2 linked regions of the Cricetulus griseus genome follow. The protein of the gene in region 1 interacts with the protein of each later gene in a pairwise test. Links are inferred from orthologs where the notes say so. Each region holds a gene or a part of one and is shown in the gene's direction. Other genes may lie near its edges.

Evidence for each region. The genes of interacting proteins can lie anywhere in the genome.
Region 2: the proteins of Ddx58 (region 1) and Mavs interact in binary tests that used the Homo sapiens proteins (3 or more experiments, as listed by UniProt). The link is inferred for Cricetulus griseus from reciprocal best matches to the Homo sapiens genes RIGI and MAVS.

What each region holds. Positions count from the first base shown.
Region 1 is NC_048595.1:102,330,119-102,335,806, forward strand, and holds part of Ddx58 (antiviral innate immune response receptor RIG-I), read left to right. Parts: intron 1-335; exon of another isoform or gene 336-436; intron 437-942; coding exon 943-1,090; intron 1,091-2,206; coding exon 2,207-2,329; intron 2,330-4,037; coding exon 4,038-4,145; intron 4,146-4,507; coding exon 4,508-4,661; intron 4,662-5,656; coding exon 5,657-5,688.
Region 2 is NC_048599.1:47,337,135-47,343,418, reverse strand, and holds the start of Mavs (mitochondrial antiviral-signaling protein), read left to right. Parts: upstream 1-2,705; 5' UTR 2,706-2,846; intron 2,847-2,889; exon of another isoform or gene 2,890-3,077; intron 3,078-6,284.

The sequences.
Region 1 (5,688 bases):
GCCCTCAAAGGGTAATTGAAACCCATCAAAGCCCTCATTTAGAAGACATAATGACTAGAAAAGAATTTTTAATGTGAACGGGGTCATTTTTTTATAAATTTATTTTTTACATTCCAATCCCATTTCCCCTCTCCTCCCACTTCCCCCACTCCCCTCTCCCACCATCTGCTCTACAGAGAGGGTAAGGCTTCCAAATGTGGTCATTTTTATGCTAGACTTTTGAAGTATAACCTATTTTCAGTTAAAGTTGCCCTGTTACTTTTTCTCTCAATAGTGTTTTATGTACATGCAAATCACATTGAACAGTACAACAAACGAAAAGAACATTGCTAGGCTCTTGGACATAGATACATTTATTATAGTCTCTAAATCACTGAACTAGTGATGCGATCCTGGGCAATTCATTTAGCTTCTCTAAGGATCTGGTTTTTCATGTCTAAAGTAAGAAAAATGAACCTTATTAACATGCTGGTAGGCTTAAATGAGGTAATACAGATACAGTGCTTATTGTCAGCTTGATGCATGATAATACATACACAGTACATTTTAGTTATCATTAGAAATAAAAGTCATAGAATACCCACTCTGAAAAAATCTACTGTTGTGCTGTTAGAGTCTTCATAATCGCTCTGTATGCTAATATATCCTTATTGTGAATGGTTATCATATGGGTTAGCTTTTGCCCTGGGATTGCTGATGGTAACAGATGTAAGGATTCAGATGAGAACATTTAGCTTGGCATATTGATATCGCATATAACATATAAAGGACAAAGGTGAAGGAAAGAATATCTTAAATGCTAGTGCTAGGCAGGGTAAACATGATGCTAAGACCTACTGAACTATATACTTCACAGTGATTTTGATCAGATGCTACTTGAGTAGACATTTCTTCGGTGAAAGCTGAGCTAATTGGTCAATATGCTGCATTTGTCTCACTCAGATCTGCTTCACAAAAGGCATGATGGCAGGCGCAGAGAAGATGGTTGAATGTCTTCTCAGATCTGATAAAGAGAACTGGCCCAAGGTTTTGAAATTTGCTTTGGAGAAAGAAGACAACAAGTTCAGTGAACTGTGGATTGTCGATGAAGGTGAGCTGCTTCAAGAAAGAGCCCTGGACCACGCTGTGCCCCTCACCATTCACCATGGGACTTGCCACATTCACCCAGAGATTACTTTTCATGAAAGACTCTATTCCCTTCAGATAACCAAGGCTGGGTCCTTAGGGAACAAGTACCAGGAAGCTGAGTTCTGGGAGGGAATTAGCCTACACAGCCCAAAGATTCTGGGGAAGAAAAAAAAAAAAAAGAGCTTCCAGCCCAAACTTAAGTTATCAGAGAAATAGCTTGAGAATTCCAGACCTAAAGGCTCAAATTGCCAGACTTCTCTCCCTGCCAGAGTAGAGGTTGGATATTGAGAATGATAGATGTTGATTGGTTCTCTTGCCTGGAAGCCAGCTGGAACCAACAGAGCAGGAGTGAATGAAAATTCCCTGTGATTAAGCCAATCTTATTTGGCTTCTGGAAACTCACTCTTGCTTTAAATCTGAGTATGACAAATACCTGAGTTTCTAGCTTTAGTTTTCACCTAGGTTTCTTTAGAACATAAATTCTTGTAGAACTGTCTATGTCTTTGGCGAGGGATTAGCCAGAGACAAAAGCCATGAGTGTCTCTTTTGTGTGCCTAGGAAAGAATCTCTTTCTGAGTGTGATTGACACGAGCTACCAAGAGGGGAGGGGCTCACGATGCATACTGCTCATAAGTGACACATTCCACACTTGGAGTCACATGGTTCTAAATGACACTGGCATTCAAACACCAAGTTGAACTTCAAACTAAAAATGATTCTTCCCGTTACTTTAAGAAATTAAAGGGGGACAGTGAGATGGCTCAGCAGATGAAGGCTCCTCCCTGTCATGGAACCTGAAGACCTGAGTTCAACCTCTAGGACCTACAGGATACAGAGAACCAGTTTCCAAAAATTGTCTTCTGCCCTCCATACTCTCCTTGTGTCATGAGTGACACACACAATAAATTAGCTAATAAACAAAAGAATTTAAACAAAATGTTAAGAAAGTGAAAGGGCATGGTTGTAAGCACTCAATGGAAATTTAGATTTTTAGTGTTAGGACTTTTGGGGATTTTCATAACTAAATCCACAGTCAGATTACATTAAGATTCTAAGGTTTTTTTTTTATCTCACAAAGGTTTCAAAGGGCTTGAAAGTAAAGCTGTTGAAGATGATGGAATGGAGATATCCAGCATACAGATTTTCATACAGGAGGAGCCAGAATGCCAGGTTCTCAGTCAGAATCCCTGCCTACCATCAGGTACCCGGGCCTCATTTGTTCTCAGAATCCTTGCCTGGGCATCACTTGTTCTTTTTCCATAATGGCCTTTTTTTGTTGTTATTGTTATTGTTATTGTCCCCCCCCCCCAGACGGGGTTTCTCTATGGCTTTGGAGGCTGTCCTGGAACTAGCTCTTGTAGACCAGGCTGGTCTCGAACTCCCAGAGATCCACCTGCCTCTGCCTCCTGAGTGCTGGGATTAAAGGTGTGTGCCACCAACGCCCGGCTCTTTTCCATAATGTTCTATCTCCAGCACTAAAGTCCTTTTAACGGATGATTAGGAAACAAAAGAGAATTTGTGTGACAATAGACTTCATAATTAGAATCACTGTTCCTTCCTATCTTTGTTAGCCTCAGCTGCTTTTATCTGCCTTTCACTCATGCACATGTATGTCCAAGTCTTGCTCTGATGTAGTGTTCCCAGAACTTCACTGTCTGTAACATCCCAAGCAACCTTGTTGTCTAAAAGAATACTTCTGTTTATGAGCCATTTGCTCGGTCTCCTTCCAGGATCCCAGGGCTGCCACACAAGTGGATGAGTGGGTTGTGCGCTCTCTCTGCTAGCCTCTGTGTGGAGGGTTCAAATCAACTTGTTCTCATATTCATGGTTCTGTGAAAGTTAGCTATGGCTGGACGAGGCCCCTCTCTAATGCTCCTTGAAATACATCTTCATCATGAAGAGACCAGAAGGTTGTAAGATATACAATAACGTATTTATAACAAAATGTATCAGGAAGGAAATAAGATGAATAATGAATAGTGTTAAAAGAACAACGTAATTTTTTAGAACATCATTTAAAAAAAGATGCCTTACAAATATATGAAATGAATGTCGCAAGGTTTCTGCCATTCCAGAGTGACGCAGTACTAATGTTTCAGACACACAGTGATCCATACACATCTTAAGCAAAGCTATTTTGTCTCAACCTTCTGGAAGTTCTCTTTCTTTACAGTGGGAAGATTAGACAATGAGGTGATTGCAGTCTGCTCTGTCTCTTGACCTTTTGTATGCTGACCTGTTACTGACACGACGCCTCAGATCCTAGATGGGTTGTGCTGAGCCATCTGGGATCCTGAGGAACATACAGCATGGCTCCTCCTTGCTAAAGTTGCTTGGAGAACCTGATGCCAGCAGCCTGGTTCTTTTCAGTTGTCTTTGGTGTCTGTTCTTACTTTGTTCTGAGTAACTTTGCTTTGAATTAAACCATACTTTTTTGTTTTAAGATTTTATTTGTTTATTTATTTATTTATTTATTTATTTATTTTGTATACAGCCATCTGCCTGCATGCCAACAGAAGGCACTAGATCTCATTCAAGGTGGTTGTGAGCCACCATGTGGTTGCTGGGAATTGAACTCAGGACCTCTGGAAGAACAGTCAGTGCTCTTAACCGCTGAGCCATCTCTCCAGCCCCGAATTAAACCATTCTTACTTTCCTTTTTTCTTAATCAAGTTTCTATGATTAAGAAAGAATTCACTTTGGCCGTTCCTGTATCCTTGTTATAGATACTTTATCACTGAGAGACAAGTGTGTGCTTCAAATCAAGGGGGGGGGAATGGGACAAATAATAACAGGCAAGATTCCAAATCTCCTAAATGGGGCCCTTGTTGCTAGAGACAGAACTCATGTCCACCCAACTGCAGTTAGCACACTAGCCATTTGGTAACTTTGTTCCTTCTATATTGTAGACGAATCTTGTAATAATTTGCACAGCTCATTGAAACCAAGGAATTATCAACTGGAGCTTGCTCTGCCTGCACAGAAAGGGAAAAATACCATAATATGTGCTCCTACTGGTGAGTCGGTTACCGTAACTTATAAAATTTTCTCTTTTCTTCTATTTTTGGTTACTGTGATAAAATGAAGAAGTTCAAGTTTTTTTCCCTCTTGCATTTGCCACTGGGTGAGCTGTCCTATCAATATAATGTGTCATTTTAAGGAACATGGACAATGAAAGAGAAATGCCCTCTTAGTTTGCCTTTGGTTCTTACTACTTGAGTTCATGCTACCTAGGAAGTAGCTTGATAGTTTTTAGCCATTGTTTAAACTGTTGCTGTCTTTATTTGTATCCCAGTGGTGATAGAGAAGCCAAAAATAAATACATACTAGAGAAACATCTAACATTGGTTACCTGTTCTTTTTCCTTCCATATTACAAGGTTGTGGGAAAACCTTTGTGTCACTTCTTATATGTGAACATCATCTTAGAAGCTTCCCACATGGACAAAAGGGGAAAGTGGTCTTTTTTGCTAATCAAATTCCTGTCTACGAACAGCAGGAAACTGTGTTCTCACGCCATTTTGAAAGACTTGGGTATGTATTACAATCAGTCTAACTGCTTTTTTCTTTTTTTAATTCTAGCTTTTTGTTTGTTTGTTTGTTTTTGTTTTTTGAGACAGGGTTTCTCTGTGTAGCTTTGGAGGCTGTCCTGGAACTAGCTCTTGTAAACCAGGCTGGCCTTGAACTCACAGAGATCCACCTGCCTCTGCCTCCAGAGTGCTGGGATTAAAGGTATGCTCCACCAATGCCTGGCTAATTCTACCTTTTTTTTTGCTTTGCTTTTTTTTTTTTTTTCTTTTCTGAGACAAGATTTCATGTAGCCAGAGCCATCTTCCAACTCACTGTGTAGCTGAGGTTGACCTAGAAGATATGAACTTCTTGCTTTTACATTCTAAATGCTGGGATCACTTTTATTTTATGTGCATTAGTGTTTTGCCTCATGTGTGTCTGTGTGCGAGTGTCAGATACCCTGGAACTGGAGTGACAGGTGGTTGTGAACTATAATGTGGGTGCTGGGAATTTAACCCAGGTCTTCTGAAAGAGTGACCAGTGCTCTTAACCACTGCACCATCTCTCCAGCCCCTGTTCTGTGTTTTTAAAAGCTATGATTCAAAGAAATTACTAATGACTTAGCTGTTAGAGGTAACTCTTTTGTGGAATAACTTGTTTTGTTTTGCTCCTCCCATGGATTGCTGGATAGAGTGAATGACTTGGTGGCTGAAGTTAACACTTAGATGATACACACTGGTTATTATTAATGATTTTGTATTTCATCTGACAATTCTCTTTTAAGAATTATTCATCCCCTAGTGACTTGAAGAATAACTATACCATGACCAGTTATAGCTAGCTTACATTTCCTGATTGCTGGCTTTGTGTCAGGTTTGAGTGAAAGCTCAAACTACTCCCTAATTGTACTCTTTTGGGCCTAGGGGGACCTTTATTATTTGTTGTTCTGATCTAGTGTTTCATCTTTGTTTCCTTGTTCACACTGCAGTTAGTAATATGGGATTTATGCCATTTTCCAGGTACAGCGTAGCAGGCGTTTCTGGGGCAACTA
Region 2 (6,284 bases), on another chromosome or scaffold:
AAACTGTTCATTTTATATTACATTGTAATTTTGAAAAAATTTCAGACTTACAGTTTCCAAGTAACACAAGTACCTCTTTACAACTGTTATACGTCAGTTAGAACAGTAAACATGATAGAGCTATTAACTGTCCAAAAGCTTAGTTCAGATCTCACCTTTGTCCCTCTAGTGTCCTTTTTCTGTGTGTTTCAGGACCCAGCCTAGGATGGCGCCTTACTTTCAGTTATTATACTACTCAGTCTCCTTTAGTCTGAAATAGTTCTCTGATCTTTCCCTAATTTTCATGACTTTGATGTTAGTTTTTTCCCTTTCTTTTTTGAGACAAGGTCTTACTATGTAGGCAGGTTGGCTTCAAACTTCGGATGTCTTGCCTTTACCTCAACCTCCTAAGTGCTGGGGTCATAGGCTGCATCACATGACCTTAACTTTTTTTTCACATGGGAAGTTTTACTGGGAAAAGGGAAGAGAGGAGAGAGAGAGAGAGAGAGAGAGAGAGAGAGAGAGAGAGAGAGAGAGGACACAGAGACCTGTCTGCCTCCTCAGAGTAACGGAGGAAAGAGAATGACTTTAACATTTTTAAAGTTATTCTGTAGACCAGTGCTATCCAATAGAATTTTCTAAGATAGAAATGTTCTGTATCTCAATGGCCAACATGCAGATGAATTTCACATTTGAAATATGGCCAATGGAGCTCAGAATGCCAGAGGCATGACCACTGTCCCTTTTCTAGAATTTAAAGAGCTGTTGACAGGTGATTGGGAACCAGGCAGGTCAGGAAGCCGGATTGTTTCAATGCCCTTCGAAGCCCAGCAAGGACAGGGCTAACTATAACCACATTTAGAAAGCCAGTCCCCACAGGCCTGATGCTCTTTTTGCAAGCATTAAATAAGAGTCATGGTGGTTTGCAGCAAGACTAAATCACCAATACTTACTTAAAAAAATTGCTTTTGACATTTTCAAATTTGTTTTGCAGTCAGGGGGACAGATAATTGTGGAGATCAGAAGACAGTTTTCAGGAGTTCTTCCACCATGTTGTCCCAGGGATCAAACTTATGTGTGATTTGTACACCCTGAAAGTTGTGAACTATCTACACAACTACCAAGAACAGTGTGGTGACTTGAATGAAAATGGCCCCCATAGGCTCACTGGGAGTGCCACTATTAGGAGGTGTGGCCCTGCTGAAGAAAGTGTGTCACCAGTGATGGGCTTTGGGTTTCAGAAGCTCAGCCTAGGCCAAGTGGCTCACTCTCCCTTTCAGCTGCCCAAAGATCCAGATGTAGAAAGAACTCTCAGCCTCTCTCTCCAGCACCATGTCTGCCTGCACTCTGCCATGTTTCCTGCCATGCTGAACTAAACCTCTGAACTGTGAGCCAGCCCTCAGTTAAATTGCCGTGATCATAATGTCTCTTCACAGCACTAGGAACCCTAAGACCAACAGTAATACAATCTCAAAGAGTTCCAGAATCTCTGTCACATAACTAATTCTGTTTGGCAGCAGTTCTAACCTCAGTGATCTCCACGGAATCCCTTAGCCTTCTCTAAAAAAAAAAAAAAAAAAAAAAAAAAACTGTGCTAGATAGGAAAGTATAACATTAAGTATATCATTGATGCATTTTTCAAAATATTTCATGTTTTATATTTATGGGGGGAGGTAGATACCAATGCTTTTGGGAATCGACTATCCTTCCCTCGTGTAAATTAAAGGAACCACACAAAGATCCTCAAGCTTGGCAGCAAGTGACTTTACCTGCTAAGCCATCTCACCAGCCCTTGCTGATTGATACATTTTTACATATATTCAAGCTGTGTACTCACCACCTACATCAGGCTCTAGGACATTTCTACCCTCTAGGCGTGCTGAGGTAACTAATATGATTTCTTTTTTAGTACATTAGCTTTTTACTTCTTGTTGAAACATTTGACTGGAAGCAGAAAGCATTTTGTCTCCGTTAGCAGAGCACCTATTTAGCAATGCCACCTAGTCCAGTATGGTGAGATCTTATTCCTGTTACGTGATCTTTTACTGCTGTGTACTAATCACAGTCTGCCCATTTATTTTACTGACGGACACTTGAATTGGTTTCATAATCAAACCACTAGAACTTTTCTAGTGGATGTGGTTTAAAAGGAGATTTTAATCTTAGTTTTAATTGCCTTGGTGTGTGTACAGTGAATACAGGTGCCAGTGGAGATCAGAGGTGTAGGTCACCCTGTAATTCCAGACATGGAATTACCGCCAGACATGGGTGCATACTTCCAAGTTTTGCTGCACCATATTCCCACTGTGTCTGCTCGTGTCGCCTGGCTAGGCATTCACACCCCTGTGGCATTTGCCTGACACCCCACCTTTATGGAGCACTTCTTGCCGGGCACTATAGACCCTCTCCCCTCCAGCAGTTGGCTAAAAGAGCTGCTTTGCTTGAGTTGCTTGGGAGTCCAAGAAGGCCAGTTTTCAGGGCTTCTGGACTTCCTCTGGAAACTGCTCCAGACCAAGCAGCGAGAAAACAATCTGCTCCTTCATGTCTCTGCAGGGAACCAGAACTGCCCCCAAACAAGGCCTACCGAGCACTAGCAGCTAGACCAGAGGCTCACGAAACTCGGGGCTCATCCAATGGCCCCACGATCGGCTCTCCTCGGTCCACGTCCTTCTTGCCATGCTTCCGACCCATCCCGTCCAGGCCCGGCCCAGCCAATGACCGAGATTCCGGTTCCGCTCCTCCCTCCTCCTTACTCCTTGGCCAATGGCCGCGCTGCTCGCCCCGCCGCCCGCCCCGCCCTCTTCATCTGGGAGGGTTCTGCACGGTCGCTTGCAGGTCAACCTGTTGCCTACTCTGGTTTCCTCTTGGTAAGTTCGCAGCCTGGGAGTGGGTTCTCAGGACTCCGTGCTCCCCAACGCCCTTCAGGGAGGGGGCCTTGGACGGAGCCCAGTGCGTCTCGGAGTCCGCAGGATCGCCGGGGCCTGGGCACGCGGGGTCGGGGAGGCTCCTGACCTGATTATGGGAGGGTGCGGCCGGTCCCACACGGATTCCGAACCCTGGGAGTTCCTCGAGCCGCATCCAGCACCCTTAGCGAGCAGGTAGGTGGTGCAGAGCGTTTGCCCGGGCTGGATAGGAAAAACCGCGGAGTGCCTCCTGCCTCTCCCTGGCCCCGGTGACTCCCGCGAGGCCTGACCGCGCGCAACGACCTGTGGCAGTCGCTTCACAGAGTAGGTCTGTCAGTCCGGACTGCCGCCCGATCCTGGGTGTGACAGCTGTGGGTAGCGACACCTGTTCAAAACAGCCTCCCTGCACTTGGAGACCTGGGTCCTGCCAGTTAATCTAGTTTGAGGTCAGGAGACCTGTCCCTCGGGAGTGTCGATATTTCTTTCCGTGACCCGATCAGAAGCTTTGCTGTGTCCGAGACACCCTTGCCATCTATCTCCTTTTCTCTGAGATGGGAAAGAAGTTTGAGGAAAAGGAGGAAAACAAAGGAAAGCAAAAAAAAAAAAAAAAAAAGTTCTTTGGATACTGTGAAGCTTCAAAAACTTTAAGGGCATTCGGCCTTGATCTCAGAACTCAAGCCAATGTCAGTGAGGGCTGAGAGCGGCATTAACGCGAGCTGTGTCTGAGAGATTTTTATGTTTTCCAAGAGCCTAAATGCTGCATCTTCTCACCCTGTAGTCCCACCCACAGGCAGTGAGCGACCTTGGCGTAAAGACAGACTTTGTGGCTCTCCTGCTGCAGGGGCCTCTATGCTCTGTTAGTCCACGGGGGCAAAAGAAGTCTGGGTTCAAATCCCACACTGTCAGTAGTGTAGCATAGTGTCACTTCCTTCTTGCTCATGATTGTGTCAAAGGACTAACTGAAGAAACTTAGGATGCCCTTGGTAACAATGAACCTTAAAGAAATGAACAACTGTGAACTTTCTTAGCTTTTGGTGGGGCTACATACCGGCATCTGTACATTCAGTGCTGTGGCTGGACCGAAGAAAAAAACGCTAATTTGACTCTGTCATCTCATCTTTCTAGGTGATCTGGGCAAGAAGGGGGGAGGTTTCATCAGCCTGTCCGCCACAGAGCTATTCTTTTCCATCACTTGAAGGCCCAACAGACCCTAATCTTACCTCCCTCACCTCCCGACCTTCCATCTGTAGCTCTCCACAGGAATGTAGCATTTGGTAGTTCGCAGCAGATAACACGGGGCTGAGGTCACTAGGCAGGCCAGGTACTTCATCTTCCATGTATCAGGGCCCTGCCCCTGCAGCAGCTACACTGTCTCCCAGGGGCCTTGTATTTCAAACAAGAGCACTTGGTTCTCTCTTCTCCCACTTTCTTCCTCTCTTTTGAACAATACTCTTGGAATCCAACAAATTAAACTTGTCAAAATGGAGCTCTGAAGCACTGCCTTTCTATGGCTTCTCCCTGACTTCCCTAGTGTAGTAAATGGCACCTTCCTTGCACCAGCTCCCAAGAAACAATGTTAGATTCTTTTCCCCACCTCCCGTGTGCACAGAGCGCCAGGAATATAGCTGCCCATCCCCACCTCTGTGGTTTCCATACTGGCCACACCAGCATCGTTCCCCCTCTTGGTCTCTTGACTTGTCACCTTCCTTCTATGCTGGCTTCTCAAAGGCCTTAGAACCTCCGGAGAATTCTGCAGTGCAAGTCAGCGCTTCTGCTTCCCATTGATTCCCCCGTTTCACACCAAATAAAACCCGAAAAGTCCTTCCCACAACACCTTACAAGCTAATCTCTTTGACCTTGGCCTCCACCCCTCTAAGCTTTCCAAACCTCTTCACTCACCTACTTTCTCTTCAAATACAACAAGCTCTTAGAACTTTGGGTGTTTGAAGAGAAACACACATCTTAGGACTTTTGCATCTGGTTTGCCTTCTGCCCGGGTATTTCCTCCTGGAGTTCTGTCCCATTGTCTCATTTTACTATCTTCATAATCAGAATTACTTTCTGGACTTGCCGTCTAGGTATGTGCTGACAGATCTGTGACCAGTTCCACTCCAATAGTATATAAATTGGATGTGGAGGGCACAGTGACCTTGTCTTTCTTAGCCCTGACGGGGAGGGCAAATAAGAGACAAGTAAACAAACATGTGTAGTTGCAGATTGTGGTGCTGCATAAGTAATGCTTGCTTGCATTTCAGGCACTTTAAAAGCTTACATTTAGGGCTGGTGAAAGGGCTCAGCAGGTAAAAGAGTTTGCTGTGTAGGCCCGATGGCTGAGATCAAGCCCTGGAACCCAAAGTGGAAAGAGAGAATCAACTTACAAAAGCTGTCCTCTTATTTTTCATACTGTGCTTGTGACATGTGCACACATTCACACAACCGTCTTACACATACAGTAATAAAATGGATGGGCATTTAAAAGTGGCCCATTAAAAAAATTAAGCTTAAGGGAGCCAGAGAGAAGGCTCGGTGGTTAAGAACACTGGCTGCTATTCCAGAGGATAATGGGTTTGAGTCCCAGTACCCACATGACATCTCACAACCATTTGTAACTCAGTTCCAGGGGATTGGATGTCATTTGCTGGCCTCTGTAGGAACTCCATGCACAGACATACATGTGGGCAGAATGCCCATGCGTATAAATTATAAATAAATCTTGGGGCTGGAGAGGCAGCTCAGTTGTAAGAATACTGACTATTTTTCCACAGGACCTGGGTTTCATTCCCAGCATCCGCATGGCCATTCACAACTGTCTGTAACTCCAGTTCTAGGGGAATATGATGCCACCACCTGGCCTCCATGGGCACCAAACTCGAAAGTGGTGTGAAAACATACAGGCAGGCAAAACACTCATACACATAAACAATTTGAAAAGTAAATATTTAAAAAATTTGGCCAGAGCCAGGCGTTGGTGGTGCATGCCTTTAATCCCAGCACTTGGGAGGCAGAGGCAGGCTGATCTCTGTGAATTCAAGGCCAACCTGGTCTACAGATCTAGTGCCAGGACAGGCTCCAAAGCTACACAGAGAATCCTGTCTCAGAAAAAAAAATTTGGCCAGGCAGTGGTGGCACACTCCTTTAGTCCTAGCATTCAGGAGGCAGAGATGGTGGATCTCTGTGAGTTCAAGGCCAGTGTGGCCTACACAGTGAATTCCAGAACAGCCAAGGCTGTTACACTGAGAAATCCTGTCTCAAAAAAACGTGAGTGAGTGTGTGTATTTAAATTTAAGCTTACCTGCCTGAACTACTGTGTTGCACAAGCTCTCTAAAACATTTTTTAAAAGATTTTTTTAAAACTTATGTGTACATCTGTCTGAGTGTATCAAATGTGTGTAGGCTAGAAGA